2 linked regions of the Pelodiscus sinensis genome follow. The protein of the gene in region 2 purifies or fractionates together with the protein of the main gene of each other region. This does not show direct contact. Links are inferred from orthologs where the notes say so. Each region holds a gene or a part of one and is shown on either strand. Other genes may lie near its edges.

Region 1 (7,600 bases), on a different chromosome or scaffold from region 2:
TCATTAGAATATTTTCTGCCATTTCTTTTGGGGCAAAAAGAAACAGTGCCGCCACTTCTGTTTTGTGAAAAAACCCTGTTTTGCGCAAGACTCTAATGCCTCTCCCGGATCTTGTACAAAATAGGGGTTTTGCGCAAAATGGAAGCAGCTACACTGCTTCTTTTTGTGCAAAAACCCCTTCTGCAAAAAGAAATGGAAGAAAATATGCTAATGATATTGTGATTTATGCTAATGAGTCCCTCATTAGCATATTTTCTGCCACAACGACTCACAGTGTAGACAAAGCCTTAATGTCCTCTAACAGCCCAGTGAACAGTGGAAGCATTGGTAGTGCTGCTAGACAATATTGACCTCCCATGGTCCAGAAAATTCTCTGGTTCAGAACCAGTCAGGTCGTGAAGGTTCTGGACTAGAGACATTTAACCTGTACAATGGATCCATAATCCTTGAAGGAATGGATGTTGCTATCCACACTATGTTATCCATTGCTGCCACTTTACAGGGATCCATCTTATGAGATAATTGTAGGGGATATTTTATCCTTCTATGATGCTGACAGGCCAGAAGCCAGCTCCTGCCCAAGCTGCATGTATTAAGAATTGACTCTCAGCTGCAAACTAGACCAGGTGACCATATTAGTTTTGCTCAAAATAGGTATTGGTCTTATAAAACTGTACTTAGTGTTTAGACTCTATGAAAAGCTTGTACAATACACTTGTAATATCTATATTCCGTGTTATAAGGTAAGTTAAGTGTTTGTTTTGAAACTGTAAACCTCCATAGCCAGAAGAGAAAACTTACAAAATGTGAGATACTAGTTTGCCACAAGAGGTGTTATCTCTTGCTTAACTAAAGAATGCCCATAAACATCAGACAAACCACTGTGAAACATCAGAGGATGAAAGTTTTTGTTGATTCCACTCCATGAAAAAGAGACATGCCCATAAATTTGATCCAACATCTTGAACTCTGGGTGAAGGGAATAACAATTCCTGAGAAGAAACTGCATCTTTTTGATTGTCTGAACTCTGATGGACCAGAGACTGTAAAATGAAGCCAGAGATTCCCAGAGGCTGCCTCCTTGATTTGTTCTGAAAGACACTTTGAATAGACAGACCACTACAACTCTTGTCATTTTTAGGATTTAGATCAGTGGTGGGCAATCTGCAGTCTGAAGGCCGCAGGCGGCCCCCCAGGGTAATCTGCTGGCCGTGAGACATTTTGCTGACATTGATCATCTGCAAGCACCACAGCTCATAATGACCGGGGTTCTCTGTTCCTGAACAATGGGAACTGTGGGAAACAATACCTGCAGGTGAAGGGTCTGCAGGGACATGTTGGCCACCACTTCCCATAGCTCCCATTGACTGGGAACATAGAACCATGGCCAGTGAGAGTTGTGAGAGGCAGTGCCTGCTGACAGTCAATGTCAGGAAAATGACTCAACCCTGACAATCAGATTACCCTGATAGGCGACACGACCATTGATTTAAATGGTAACTCATTTGTATGCAGGCAATCCCCGACTTATGACCACACGTCCTGCAACCCCCCGCATTTACAGCCACCCTGCTTCAGGAGCCATGGGGCCGCCTACTGCTTGGCACAGCCCCTGGCCAGCTCTGGGTGCCATTCGCACCACGTCGCGGGGCCACCTACCACCCGGCACAGTCCCCAGCCAGCTCAGGGTGCCATTTGTGCTGCTGGCTCCAGGAGACTACAACTCCCAGGAGGCAAAGCAGGCCAAGAATGGAACCTCCATTCATAACATTGCCCCTATGGACATTAAGTGTTCAACTTACAATGGTTCTCCAGGAACCAATTAGGTCGTAAGTGCGGGGGTCACCCGCCCGCTCTTGCACAAGGAAATTTACAGTTCGGCATGGTGAGAGAGGGCTCCTTGCGCAAGAGTTACACTCTTTTTTATCAGATGTAAGCCCTCTTGAGCAGGTGCTCTTGCACAAGAGGGCAGTGTGTACACTCAGCAGGGATTTCTTGCACAAGAAAGCCCTATGGCTAAAATGGCCATCAGAGCTTTCTTGCGCAAGAGAGCGTCCACACTGCCATGGGAGCTCTTGTGCAAAAGAACCCTTGTGCAAGATGTTCTTGCGCACGAAGCCACCAGTGTAGACATAGCCTACCAGTTTGGGGTGTCTGCCATGTTTTTGTCATACTGCCCTGATGTAGGTGTGTAGCCAGACACAAACCCCATCTTGTTTTTCCACGAACCCCATCTTGTCGTCCCTCCCCCCCCCAGAGAGCAAGAGAAAGGCAGTCAGCCTTTGATGCCCTGGGAACGCAGGTGTGCTGCCTGTCCCTGACTCTACCATAAACAGAAACCAGACAGTAAATGGGCTAGCTGACGACCCGGGGCCTCCTATCACCCTGATGGCTAGTACCAGTAATTGACATGCCTGCACTGTCCCAGGAGAGGAATCTTCGCCCATCACATACCAGAGGTGCCCATTGTCTGCATTTTCCCAGGTGTAAATTATGCTTTGTACCCTTAGTGGGAAACTTGGTGTTCAAAGCCATTTTTCCTAATTGGCCACTTGAGACCAGGAAGAAGCCTACATGACCCAAGGGGTATAAAAAGAGGTTCCGCTGCCCACCCCATTTGAGCTCCAATCATCTATACCTGCTGGCAGGTATTGATTGTCTCCCAAGGTCTGTGGGACGCCCAACCTCGCCCTACTTCTTCCCGAGGGATTGAGAGAAAGACGCTGGCCACGCCAAGTCTGAAACGCAGGGGTGAGAATATATACCTGCTATGTGTCTATTTTGCATGCATTTAATAAGAGCTCAGAGAACCAAAAGGGTTTCATGGTACCTGTAAGTGACTTATTAGTGTAATTTCTGTCCTGTCCTTTGTAGTGGCTGTGTTATCTGTAACACAGTAGTAGCATTTAACAACTAAGTTTACCCTGTAACAATAAAATAGTAACTGTTTAAGCTTTAACCTAACTCCTTCAGTTGCTGTAACAGAACCAAGCACAATCTAAAAGAACTTCAGCCGGTCATAAGGGACTCACTGCCCTGACCGTCGGCTGACAAGGTGTTCCTGGTTGTAAGCAACTTAAAGTGTGACACCCTCCTCTACATAAGAGCCACAGGAGAAAAATACAGCTACAAGATTAGGGAAAGGGATCCTGCTCTTTACTTCCTGGTAACAAAATTTAAAAAGATGGCCACTTAGAGCAGTGATGGGCAACCTAAGCTAGTGAGTGGTCTACGTGAATGGCTGTTTTATCCTAGTGGACTGCAAAATTGTTGTAACCAAAACAGTCTTCTGGGATAGGGTCACTTTTATAATTGCTCTTACTTAGAAGTTGCAGGGTGTTCCAATTGAACTGTAGCAGCTCTTTGATTGGATGGGAGCAGAGGGAGCACAGGCTCTCACATTCAATGTTGCGTGCAATCAGCATGCACCTCACTTCATATGTCCTTACTTTATGTTCACGTCACTTTAGTGATACTGGTAGGAAATAAAACCTTATGTAGATGGGGAAACACAAAAACTGGTAACCAAAAACTGGTAACCCCATGGGCAGCAGGCCACCCACAGAACTCTGATGGGCAGTAGATCACAGATTTAGCATATGCCCCACACTACATGGCTATGTCTACACTGGCAGGTTCTTGTGCAAGAACTCTTGTGCAAGCACATGTCCACATTGCCATGTGCAAGATGTGCTTTTGCACAAGAGCATCCATAGCAGGGTGGACGCTCTCTTGCACAAGAAAGCTCTGATGGCCATTTTAGCCATAGGGCTTTCTTGCATAAGAAACACTTGCCGCGCATCCACACTGCCTTCTTACGCAAGAAGGCTTACACTTGTAAAAAAAGAGTGTAGCTCTTGTGCAAGAAGCCCTCTCTTACCACACCGTACTGTAAATCTTCTTGCACAAGAGAGGGTGGGTGCTCTACAGGTTCTTGTGCAAGAACCCGCCAGTGCAGACATAACCCATGTGTGCTATAGTAGCATAGCTGCAACTATGTGGCTGTAGGGGATTGCTTCAGCGTTTCCATCACTGCAAGAAAATCCATCCCCTTGAGGGGGAGAATTCGTCCAGTAACGCAGCGGCGTCTGCGGTTCGAGCGCCCCACATCATGGCACTAGGCACGGAATCTGCCCCGCCCTGAGCGCTGGAGCTTGGGTGGCTTCAGTCTCAGGTGCAGACTAGGCCTCTCTGGGTCAAGAGCCATCTGCGTCTGGCCACCGCCTAGCACGGCGGCCTCCAGCCCCTGGGCGGCACCGCAGTCGGACCTTCGCCGCCAGGCCGACCAGTGACACTCCGGGGAGGGCGGGGCTCTGGGATCCGCGGCCCCCTCGCGGCAGGGGGCTGCCAGGGTTGTCCCACGCGCAGCGAGCGGCAGCGCCGGGCAGGTGAGGGGGCTGCAGGGGCAGCCAGGCAAGGCACCTGCCTCGGTCACGGGGCTGTCGCGTCCCTCTGCCGCCCCACGAGCCTTCCCCTCCGGGCCCCGACCAGTGGGCGCAGGACTCCTCGAGGGCGGGGTAAGGCTCGGAGCCGCCCGTCATACGGGACCTGCTCGAGCACCGGCTGCACTTCCGGGTCAGCGGGGGGCGGGGCGGAGAGGGAGGTTGCCTTGCGTGACGTTGCTGAAGGGTTCGGGCTGCTGCCTCCGCTGCCTGTTATTGTTCCTGCTCTCACGGGCTGCCGCCTCCGCACGCTGAGCCGCCCGAGAGGAGGGAAAGGGCAGGGAGCCCGGAGGAAAAGGGCTCAATTAGGTGGCCGTTAACGGTTTCGAACTGTCCGCAGCGCGAGCCCTGACAGCAAGGGCGGGGGGAGAGCGCGCGTCACTGAGGAGCGAGCGAGCGAGAGACCGAGCGAGAGGCGGCGGCGAGGGCGGGGATTGGGCGGCCATGGCCTACGCGTATCTCTTCAAATATATCATCATTGGGGACACAGGTACGCGGGGCAGGGGCGCGGAGACCCTTACTGCGGAAATGGGGAGGCGGGAGAGCGAAGCCCGACCCCGGCTGCCCCATTTCCGCAGTGGTGGCGTCGCCGACGTGGTGACTCCGGGTGGGAGGAGGCTTCCCCCGCCCCTGCGCTCGGCAGCGGGCCCCGCCCGTGGCTTTGGCCTGTGCTCCTCAGTCCCGCAAGAGCCCGCGGTGCCAGGCGCTGGGGCTTGCTCCGGGCCCGGCCCTTCGAGGTGGGGAAGCGGCCGCTGCCTGGGGACAGCCCTGGGGGCGGGCAGCGAGTCATGCCGCAAAGTGCGACAGAGACGCTGCCATCCACGGGGTCAGCGATGCTGTTCCGCTGCCCAGGCCTTGCCGAGGCCTCCTCGCCCAAGGAGCCTCCCTGGCGCTTCGGGGCTGAAACTGCAATTGCCCCCCACACGCAGTGTAACCTCAGCACCAGACCGCCATGAAAACCCGCCATTCAGCCAGACCTGGGATTTGCCAGGCACCAGTAATGCCTAGTCCAGCTCTGCTTCTGTCACCCCGTCTCCTGATTTAGAGACTTCAGATGTTGCCTTCTGCCTGGTCTCACTTGGGCCCTTTCTCTTGGTCCCATAGTCGCTGGCAGTGCTGTGGGAAATCTCTAGCTTGGAGAAGCCACTGTCTATGCAAATAGCTAGCCACAGATGTTAAAATTAAGCTTCCCAAATGATGTGCTCTGGGGATATGGTGGCTGGCTTGCTTTCCTCCCCAGTGTGGGCAGGGCGTGTAGCTAATCAAAATGCCACACAATCATTTGTCTTGGTGAGGTATCATATTTGATTACTGTGAAACCAATTGTAACATAATCATGGCTAACTTTTAAGAACAGATATATCATGTATTTATCTGACATCTAGCTAACATCTAAGTACTTTACTAAATATAAAAAGGCTTTTTACACTAATGTGGCGTCATAGCTGCATCACTCTATATTCAGTTCAGTTATTGTTTGTATAAATGAACCTGATCTACTGCTGGAGTTGCTGTTCATGGTGTAAATATGTTAATTTCTCTGAAATAAGTGGTTTCTTGGGTATATGGCTCCTATTCTGTGTAAAGCTTGACCTAAGATCTTGAAATATACTCTGCAAGATGTGTTTCAGAGGTAGCTGCGTTAGTCTGTTTCAGCAAAACAAGGAGTCTGGTGGCTCCTTAGACTACCAATTTTATTATGGCCTATGCTTTCGTGAGTTAGAACTCACTTTGTTTCACTTCATGCATCTGATGAAGTGAGTTCTAACTCACAAAAACATAGACCATAATAAAATTGTTAGTCTTTTAAGTGTCACCAGACTCCTTGTTTTTTCTTCAAGGCAGTTGATGGTGCTATTCTGTGTCTTTAGAGATCAGAAACTGTGGCTATTATTACCGCATTTGTATTGGTTCCACATGCCCTAAGTCTGTTTTAATTTTTAAGGCTGATAGTATCACAATCTGACAGAAGTCTAAGATGGAGGAAAATACCTGTGAAGGAAGCAATTTATTAATTTAAAACAAACTATTATAACTTTTCAAATTCATAATTTGTGATGAAAACTTATAAAGGAGACAAAATCATGGCTAAAATTAATTTGATTTTAACATAAAGAGTTCCCCTTGAAAAGGTATGAGAGCCGTATTTCTATAAATGGCTAAAATAGGAAGGTGGAAAATCTTTTGTGAGTTTGTGGTGTTTAGATCTCTTGTGAACACTTGAAAAATTCTAGTGTTGCATCTAGAAACCAGCTTACCTGCATTAGTGTTTGCATACTGACCCAGAGATTATTTCAATGATTTTTCATGTCTTCAGAGTCACATTGGTTATGTGGTGATTTGACAGTTACTTTTAAATGTGTTGTAAAAAGAAAAAGGGAGACATTATTGGACTCAATCAAAAGATTAAAATTAAGTTGATCTCCATTGCTCATTCATGAGAGAGAGCTGGTTATGCAAGTAGTAACACAAATAGGATGCATGTATACCAAAACTGCATGTCTCTGATATGAATCATGGCTCTGAGTGATTTTATTCACTAAGGTTATGTCTACACTATGGGACAAGGTCAAATTAAGATACTCAACTTCAACTACATTAATTGCATCACGGAAGTTGAAGTACCTTAACTCAACTTTTGGCGCTTTCCGCACTGCAGGAAGTCGAAGGGAGAACACTCTTTGTGGAAGCAGAACTACTGGCGTCGACTGGAGTGCCCTTCTCAGTTAGTTAGCTGTCTTAACTAGACGTGCTAATTTGAACCATAGAAGAGCAACAGTGGCAGTTTCAATCGTTCTCTGTAGTGTAGACATACCCTAAGTCCGTGGTCACCAACCAGTAGATCGATCTACTGGTAGATCTCAGGGGCTCTAAGAGTAGCTCTTGAGCCCTCTCTGAACTGCGCACCTGTGCAGTCCATTTAGATTAGATTTCCTCATTTGAGGAGCAGCTACTCACTGAGCAACAACACAAGTGAGTAGCTGCGAGGAATGATGGGAGCTGGGAGGTCGGGAGGGCTGAAACACCCCAGCCAGCTGACTGGCTTTCAGCTGAAAGAGGCTGCCCCATGCTCCAGCTGATCGGCGGCTTCTCCTCTGCACCTGCCCACGTGGAGCTTGGTGCACCCTGGCTGAGCGCCGTGGCCAGCTGGCCGGGCA
Region 2 (7,541 bases):
CCAAAGATCCTATTATTTAAAAATAAAATCACAAATTAATCTCTAATTGATTGTGCAAATACATGTATAGGAAGCAGTGAGCAATAATGTGACCATTGGAAGCAAGGATGGGAACAGAATTAAGACAGTGATTTATTTGGCCAGTGATATCTGAGTTGCCAGTTATATGACCAATGCAGGACAAGGTAACCAGTTCAGAGGGCACAGTATGCCTGGGCAAAGCACTGAAGAGCAAACCATATGATACTTCTATTATTACATCAGCACGCCCTCAAATTAATGGGTCTGACTAGTTAATATTGAGGGTAACAATTGGTTCCCCAGTGTATTTTTGTTTGCTAGTTCCTATCACACTACAGGAAAATGGCTCCCTGAAGCAGCCAGCTTGTACCTGCAGCGGTTAGGGGCGGGGGTATAGGTTAAATCCATTTTCTCCTTCTATGCTTTTCATCTGTCATTTTCTCAAAATATGTATGTCTGGGCTTTGCAATCTCACTACTTAGATTCTGTTTGACACCGTCCTGCAGGTAAGCCACAAGACTGAATCGGGGATATCTTTTTGGTTTCCATACCCAATTCAGACTTTCTTGCACTACCAGACAAATGCTATAGCAGGATGGGGGGGGGGGAGGGGGGAGAAACAGGAGGAATACAGAAAATGACGGGCCAAACAAATGACTTGTTATGTAAAAATGGAGCAGGTCTTGTACTTTAAAGAGTTTTCACACTGCGAACATCCTTCTTCAAAGAGATTCTGACAATTCCTACCAGGGAATGAACAAATCTTCATTTCTGACCCTCACAAAGCAATCTGGTATGCAACACAGAATCATTATCACTGCTCCTTAGAATTGTATCCTTTGGTATATATGGTTGTGACAATTTTCTTCCACTATTTGATCTGAGGAAGTGGGTCTGGCCCACGAAAGCTCATCACCTAATAAACCATCTTGTTAGTCTTTAAAGTGCTACATAGTCCTGTTTTTTGTTTCAGCTACACCAGACTAACACGGCTACATTTCCATCACTATCCTTAGAAATAACTCTACTCAACAGCATGGATACCTTCCACTCCAATTTTACTTTAACTGATGGCCAGTGACAGAAAATACATGGAGACAGAGCTACTTTACACCAACAAAAATTGTTCTTCCAGATCACACGTGACAAGACAGTGTGGAAAAACTTTCATGGCTGCTGCACAAGGCTGAGCCTGATCATAGGTTAAATGAATTCAGTCCCTAGCATTCTTAAACTGGTCCTTTACCCAGTCTTAACATTCAGTTAACATATAAATAACTTCTTTTTTAAAAAGTACATGTATTTTGGGAGTTGGGTGTGTGTGTTTTATTGAATATCTCATGCTGAATTTCTCTCACTTCTGGAACTCCACTAAACCCTACAATTCATTCCCACTTTTCACAAGAATACGGAAAATAACAGGCTGGAATGAGCCAGTTAAAATAAGGTAAATTACTGGCCAAAGATTCTGTGATGAGTCATGCTATCATATAACAATATAAGCAGACATATAGCCAGTGACCTTTGCTTTATATGAAAATGAAAAATTATAAAAAGCTGCACATATCTCAGGAAGCATGCTTTCAGAAACATGTACACGTCAAGGGTTAAAGGATAATTACCTTAAAGACAATTCTCAGACTGATTAGCAGCTAGTACTACCACTCCATTAAAGACAATGGGATTGTAGGGAGAGTTAATGGCAGAATTTTGTCCACTACATGGAAGTATCCTCATATAACCAAAATTCTGTTACCTGTTATTGCTCACATTTATATCAGTCACATAGCAAGTCATGCTTCAAAGGATCAAAACTCATCTGAAATGAAAGATTATAATCTACACTATTTCAGAAAAAGTTTATATAGTAAATTGTTAGCAAAAATATTCTTATTTTGCCTCCACGTACATTTTAAAACATGCAAAGCTTAGCTGCTATGGAATTTCCTCCTATCATTCCTGAGACCAATTGAAGCAGTTCACATTTCAGGATCCTGCAGTTTTAACAGCCTGATGGACAAACAGCAAATATGTTTTATTACTGTCAGGCCTCAAAAAAAAAAAAAGAAAAAAAAAAGGTATGAAACAGGCATTAAGGGCATTCAGAATGCAAGGGGAGGAGGAGGCCCTGGAAGTATGAGCACCCAAAATCCAACCAAGAACAGGGATGAATGCAGTCCAGATAATGCACAATAGTAAAATCTGGTTGGTGGAGAAGTTACAAATTGTAGGCACAATAATTTACATCCCTCTCCTGGCTATGAGAATAATCTACATATTGCATCAGCTAGTAGAGCCCTGCACTGCGATGTAACCCGTCCTAGGGATTCGCCGGGGGGAGGACAGCAGACTCGCATGTTCTAGTCGGGGCCTGTATGAGAATGCGGTAGGGTAAATCTTACACGCCTTCCCCAGAGAGAAGGTCACCTACAGACTGGCTCTGGGGGGATGACGGGGTGGAGAAGGAAGCGGGAGATGCCATCCTGCAAACCCCTCCCTCTCTGAGCCAGCTGGCGGCGGGCATAAGCCGGGGGCGCTGCCTGAAATAGGGACCACGCTGCCGAGAACATCCGACGCCCTCTCCGCATGGCTGCACCACCCCGAAGGTGACTGGAGGAAGACCGGCTCAGCCCAGCCCTTTGCATCCAGGCGCCCGGCTCAGGCTCCAGGGCGGGGGAAGGGAGGCAGCTGCCAGGGCCTGGCCGCAGCACAGAGCTCCGGGCCTTTGCAAAAGGCACCGCCCGGCCCCATCCCTCCTGCGGGCCGCCCCCTCTCTCCCCGGCCGCCGCCCGGTTACCTCTGCAGAGCGGCCTGCTCGGAGACAGGGAGGAGGCTGCGGAGCGGCGCCGCTGCCGGCCCACGCGCTTACCTTGCTCGCCGGGCTCTGCGGCGGCTGTAGCCGGGCTGAGTGACAGCTGGGTGGGAGGGAGCGGGGCGGACCTAGGAGCCCGGCCTAGGGAGAGACCGCGATAGCAGCCCAGACACTCCCTGACAGACGGGAGACGGGACTCCCGCCCCCTCCGGAGCGGCTGGGGCTGCCTCGCCCCGCAGCTGGGTGGGGAGCTCTTGCAGGGCTTGGCAAGGAAAGGGGGTTCGTCAGATCTCCAGCAGCTGCCCAGGGGTTTAACCCGGTGCTGGGCAGAGCCGCGCTGGGCTCAGCCCTGCCCTGGCAGCGGGTGGGGAGCATGATACCCAGAAGCCTCGTCCACCTTCAACTTCTGGGATGCCGAGTCTAGGGCACGCCGGGGTGCTGCAACCCGCACCTCTGGCTCCAACGGGTTTCCAGCTGCTACAGGAGTTTATATTTGGTTCAGTGGTTTTTAGCCTCCCCCCCCCCCCCACACACACACACTATACAAATTGTTCAGCGCCCCCCTGCTTTTGTCACGTTAGAGCAGGAGTCTGCAACCTTTTCAAACCGAAGAGCCAAACTACATTAAAATTCAGAATAAGTGCTCAACAAAGAGCCCTCTAAAAAGGCCCATTTGAATGACTGAAAATATACAACTTAATTTTATTAATAATTGACATGATGACTAATAATGGCATAAAGGAAACATTGTATTCAAGGACTTTCTTACATGGGACTTCTGCTGCTGCATATTTTTGCACATTTCTTTTGACGTTTACAAGGAGTGGAGAGGATGGATGGTTATTAACATGAACAGTTAAAGGTGAAATAGACAAAACAAATTCTTGACATGAGTAATTACACTTTTTTAAATTTTGAATTAATGTTTCATTTACATTTAAAAAGTTGTGTGTATTTGGGATTTGCAAAAGAGCCATATTTGGTTCCGTACTGAGCCATATTTGGCTCTAGAGCCATAGGTTTCAGACCGGTGCATTAGGAAAACATTTCAGGTCAACTATAAATCTAATAAAACCCATGTCTGGAACTCCTTTATAGTTCTAGTTCTGTGGTGTCCAACCAGTTCTGCTATAGTGAAGTATATAGTGAAGTAGCTACACTCAACTGGCCAAATAGTGGCTAGTGGCTAGCATGTTGGACATGGTTCTAGTGGAAACAGAGCGTGTATTTCTCACTTCTATTTTTAACTGAAGAAATATTCCCTTGCCCTTTCTGCTTCCCAGCTGTGGTATCCAATGTTCCCTCTAATGTTTTCCATCCAGGTGCAGAATAAATTTTGTTATGCAAACCAAGGCATGTGCAGATGTGTACTACCAATAGAAATGCATGCTGCCAGCTGCGGATGCTCTGCTAATCCATTGGGAGGCACCTGTATCTCTCCTGGGTGGCTGCCCAAGCTGTCAGCTTACAGGGAACACTCGGGTACCCTAGTGCTGTGGGTAAGAGAACCAGAAAGTGAAACATATTCTCTTAGGGTATGTCTAGACTACATGGCTGCATCGACGGAGCCATGTAGATGAGTTTACTAGACATAGGAAAATAAAGCAGCGATTTAAATAATCACCACTTAATTTACATGAAAATGGCCGCTGCGCTTTTTGGCGGCACAGCGGGGCAGTCTGGACACGCCACAGTCGACAAGGGAAGCCTTTGTCAACCGCTCCGGTATACCTCATTTCATGAGGCATACCGGAGCGGTCAACAAAGGCTTCCTTTGTCGACTGCAGCGCGTTCAGACTGCCCCACTATGCCGCCAAACAGTTGATCGACACAGCGTGGCGGCCATTTTCATGTAAATGAAGCTGCGATTATTTAAATCGCCGCTTCATTTTCTTATGTCTAGTAAACTCATCTACATGGCTCTGTTGATGTAGCCATGTAGTCTAGACATACCCTTATTGACTATAGCACTGTATGCAGTGTAGAGGAAATATGCTTCCTGTCCCAAGGACTTTACAATCTAAGGCCCTTATCCAGCAAACACAAATATATGTATCTTCATTCCCAGCAGTAGTCCTAATGTCGGTGGAGTTACAGGAATAGAGCTTTTCACTTACTTAAGTGTATGTAGTGTGGTGGTCAGTACTACACTCAACAGTAAGATTGTGCTGGCTCAGACATGGAAGATAAAGTTAAAAGCTGCAAGTTGTATGAACTCTGGCAAGGTGTACGTCAGGGAGACCCATTATGCTGAGGTTGCAGTAATCAAAGACCAGCATCACCAAGGCAAGACATAAGTGTTGGAACTAGGGATGCCAGGAGTGCTACTGCACCCTTTGGCTTGAGGTGGTTTGCATTCTACACTGGGTTTACAATTTGGTTCAGTGGCTCTGAGAATCCCCATTATAAAACCTGCTCCAGCACCCCGGGACAAGATGTAAAGCCAATGCACTGGTTGTCCAATTCCAATCAGTGCAGGATAGCTTAGCAACATTATTCCTTGAAACAATAATAGTCCCCTGAGAAAGGGGTGTTGATTTTGGTACTGTTAATATTTCTGGCCTGAGCCATCTGCAAATATTTGGGACCTTGCATTAGGAGGAGAAACTGGTGATACAGTCAGGTTATTTCTTTGATACAGTCTTGTTAATTTACAACGAATGTACACAAAATCCCATTTCCTTGAACCTGGTAGGAGCAAACAACAGAAGTCAGGTTCCTTGCTCACAATCTCAAGTCTCCTTTTATAGCCGGAACTCTGCCCAAAACACTTCCTCTTGGCTTTCTCTTAGGGCCACACTATCTGTGCTTTGCTTGCTGTTTCCTGCTGCTTTTTCTGCTGCTCTGTGCCTGCAAACTCTGGGGACTCACTTTCACCCCTTTCTTCCTTGTAGATTTCTTCTATACCAGTATTTACTAGATCCACTGATTTTTGTTTTGCAGTTGTGGTTCCATTTTCTAATATTTGCTGTTTTCAGAAACATTTAGTAAACGAACAGGAGTCCATTGCCAGTCCCACCCTCAAGAATCTTAACAGCTACAATCCCTCTGAAAATCTAGATCTTAAAGCATGTCTCAGTCACTCTCCATCCTCCTTTTGCTTAAAAGCTATCCCAGCATGCTGCTGGAGGCAAGACAACTTGCTCACTGCAGACCAAATGCCTAAAATTATATGTCTTTCTTGCACCACATCTTTAAAGGGAATTTCCACAGAGTGAATTAATAGGTTGCTTTTCCTGGCATTTATTACACAATTATTAGTCATAATGAAATCCAGACCAATTATTGCCTCATCCACTGTCCCGCTATTCAGAGTTCTTGCTCTAATTATAGAAGTCTAAGTTTCAGACACAATTTCCCCCATTTTTGGATGGGTGCAAATTCCCGAGTCCCTGTCTTCTCAGGAAACCAAATAGGTGATTTAATTTTGGATCCCCTCTTACCTAAAATGTTGCTAGAAGAAATGAGGTGCAGGAGGAATTTACGGAGCTAAAAATCACTTTGAGAAAGAAATCAAAGGATCACAGACCACAGTGGAAGTCAGTCATCTGGATGAGGAATTGGGCCAGCCAATAACAGGACATTTGCAACAGTTTTCTGCCCCATCTTTAGCCGGTGTATATCTAGATTATATCCTGGTGGGATCTAAGCCCTCTGAATAGGAACTCGTATAAATGGTTTGTGGTAAGATTCAGACTGCCAATTTGAAATTGAACCCAAAGAACTATGAGTTACTCTAAAAAGAAGTAGTCTACCTTGGGATGACTGGAAAGGCATACTTGGACATGTGAACAAGGACATTGCCTCTCATCATTTGATCTTATTGTGTTCAGAGAAACAGGACTTTGTGCACGTTCTTTGTAAATCAATAGCACTGTTAAAGAAATACCTCGCTCTATTTCTCCTCCTACTGGAAACAACCTGCAGGACCCCAAATATTAGCAAAGTGCTCAGGTCAACAGGGTAACTTCTTGACTACATTTACATTGGCATAATCTTGCGCAAATAGGCTGTGTCTACATTGGCACCCTTTTCCGGAAAAGGGATGCTAATGAGACACTTCGGAATTGCAAATGCCGCGGGGGATTTAAATATCCCCCACGGCATTTGCATGAACATGGCTGCTGCTTTTTTCCGGCTCGGGGCTTTTCCGGAGAAAAGCACCAGTCTAGACGGGATCTTTCAGAAAATAAAGCCTTTTCCGGAAGATCCCTTATTCCTGATTTTAAGAGGAATAAGGGATCTTCCGGAAAAGGCTTTATTTTCCGAAAGATCCCGTCTAGACTGGCGCTTTTCTCTGGCAAAGCCCCGAGCTGGAAAAAAGCGGCAGCCATGTTCATGCAAATGCCGCGGGGGATATTTAAATCCCCCGTGGCATTTGCAATTCTGGAGTGTCTCATTAGCATTCCTTTTCCGGAAAAGGGTGCCAATGTAGACACAGCCATACTCTTTAACGCAAGAGTTCTTGCGTTAAAGTATTTACGCAAGAGAGCGTCTACACTGGCATGTGCCTTTGCGCAAGAGATGTACTTTTGCACAAAAGCATCTGTGCCAATGTAGATGCTCTCTTGCGCAAGAAAGCTCTGATGGCCATTTTAGCCATCGGGCTTTCTTGCGCAAGAAATTCATGTTGCTTGTCTACACTGGCTTCTTGCGCAAGAACAGTTGCACAAGAGGGCTTATTCCTGAGTGGGAGCATCATAGTTCT

The links. The genes of interacting proteins can lie anywhere in the genome.
Region 1: the proteins of VDAC1 (region 2) and RAB2A purify together in Homo sapiens (affinity purification with mass spectrometry; 3 studies listed by BioGRID and IntAct, with this or other methods). This does not show direct contact. The link is inferred for Pelodiscus sinensis from reciprocal best matches to the Homo sapiens genes VDAC1 and RAB2A.

The regions. Positions count from the first base shown.
Region 1 is NC_134712.1:61,919,065-61,926,664, reverse strand, and holds the start of RAB2A (ras-related protein Rab-2A), read left to right. Parts: upstream 1-4,581; 5' UTR 4,582-4,886; coding exon 4,887-4,932; intron 4,933-7,600.
Region 2 is NC_134727.1:27,818,397-27,825,937, forward strand, and holds the start of VDAC1 (non-selective voltage-gated ion channel VDAC1), read right to left. Parts: upstream 3,018-7,541; 5' UTR 2,891-3,017; exon of another isoform or gene 2,819-2,890; intron 2,032-2,818; exon of another isoform or gene 1,931-2,031; intron 1-1,930. UniProt on the Homo sapiens protein: Non-selective voltage-gated ion channel that mediates the transport of anions and cations through the mitochondrion outer membrane and plasma membrane.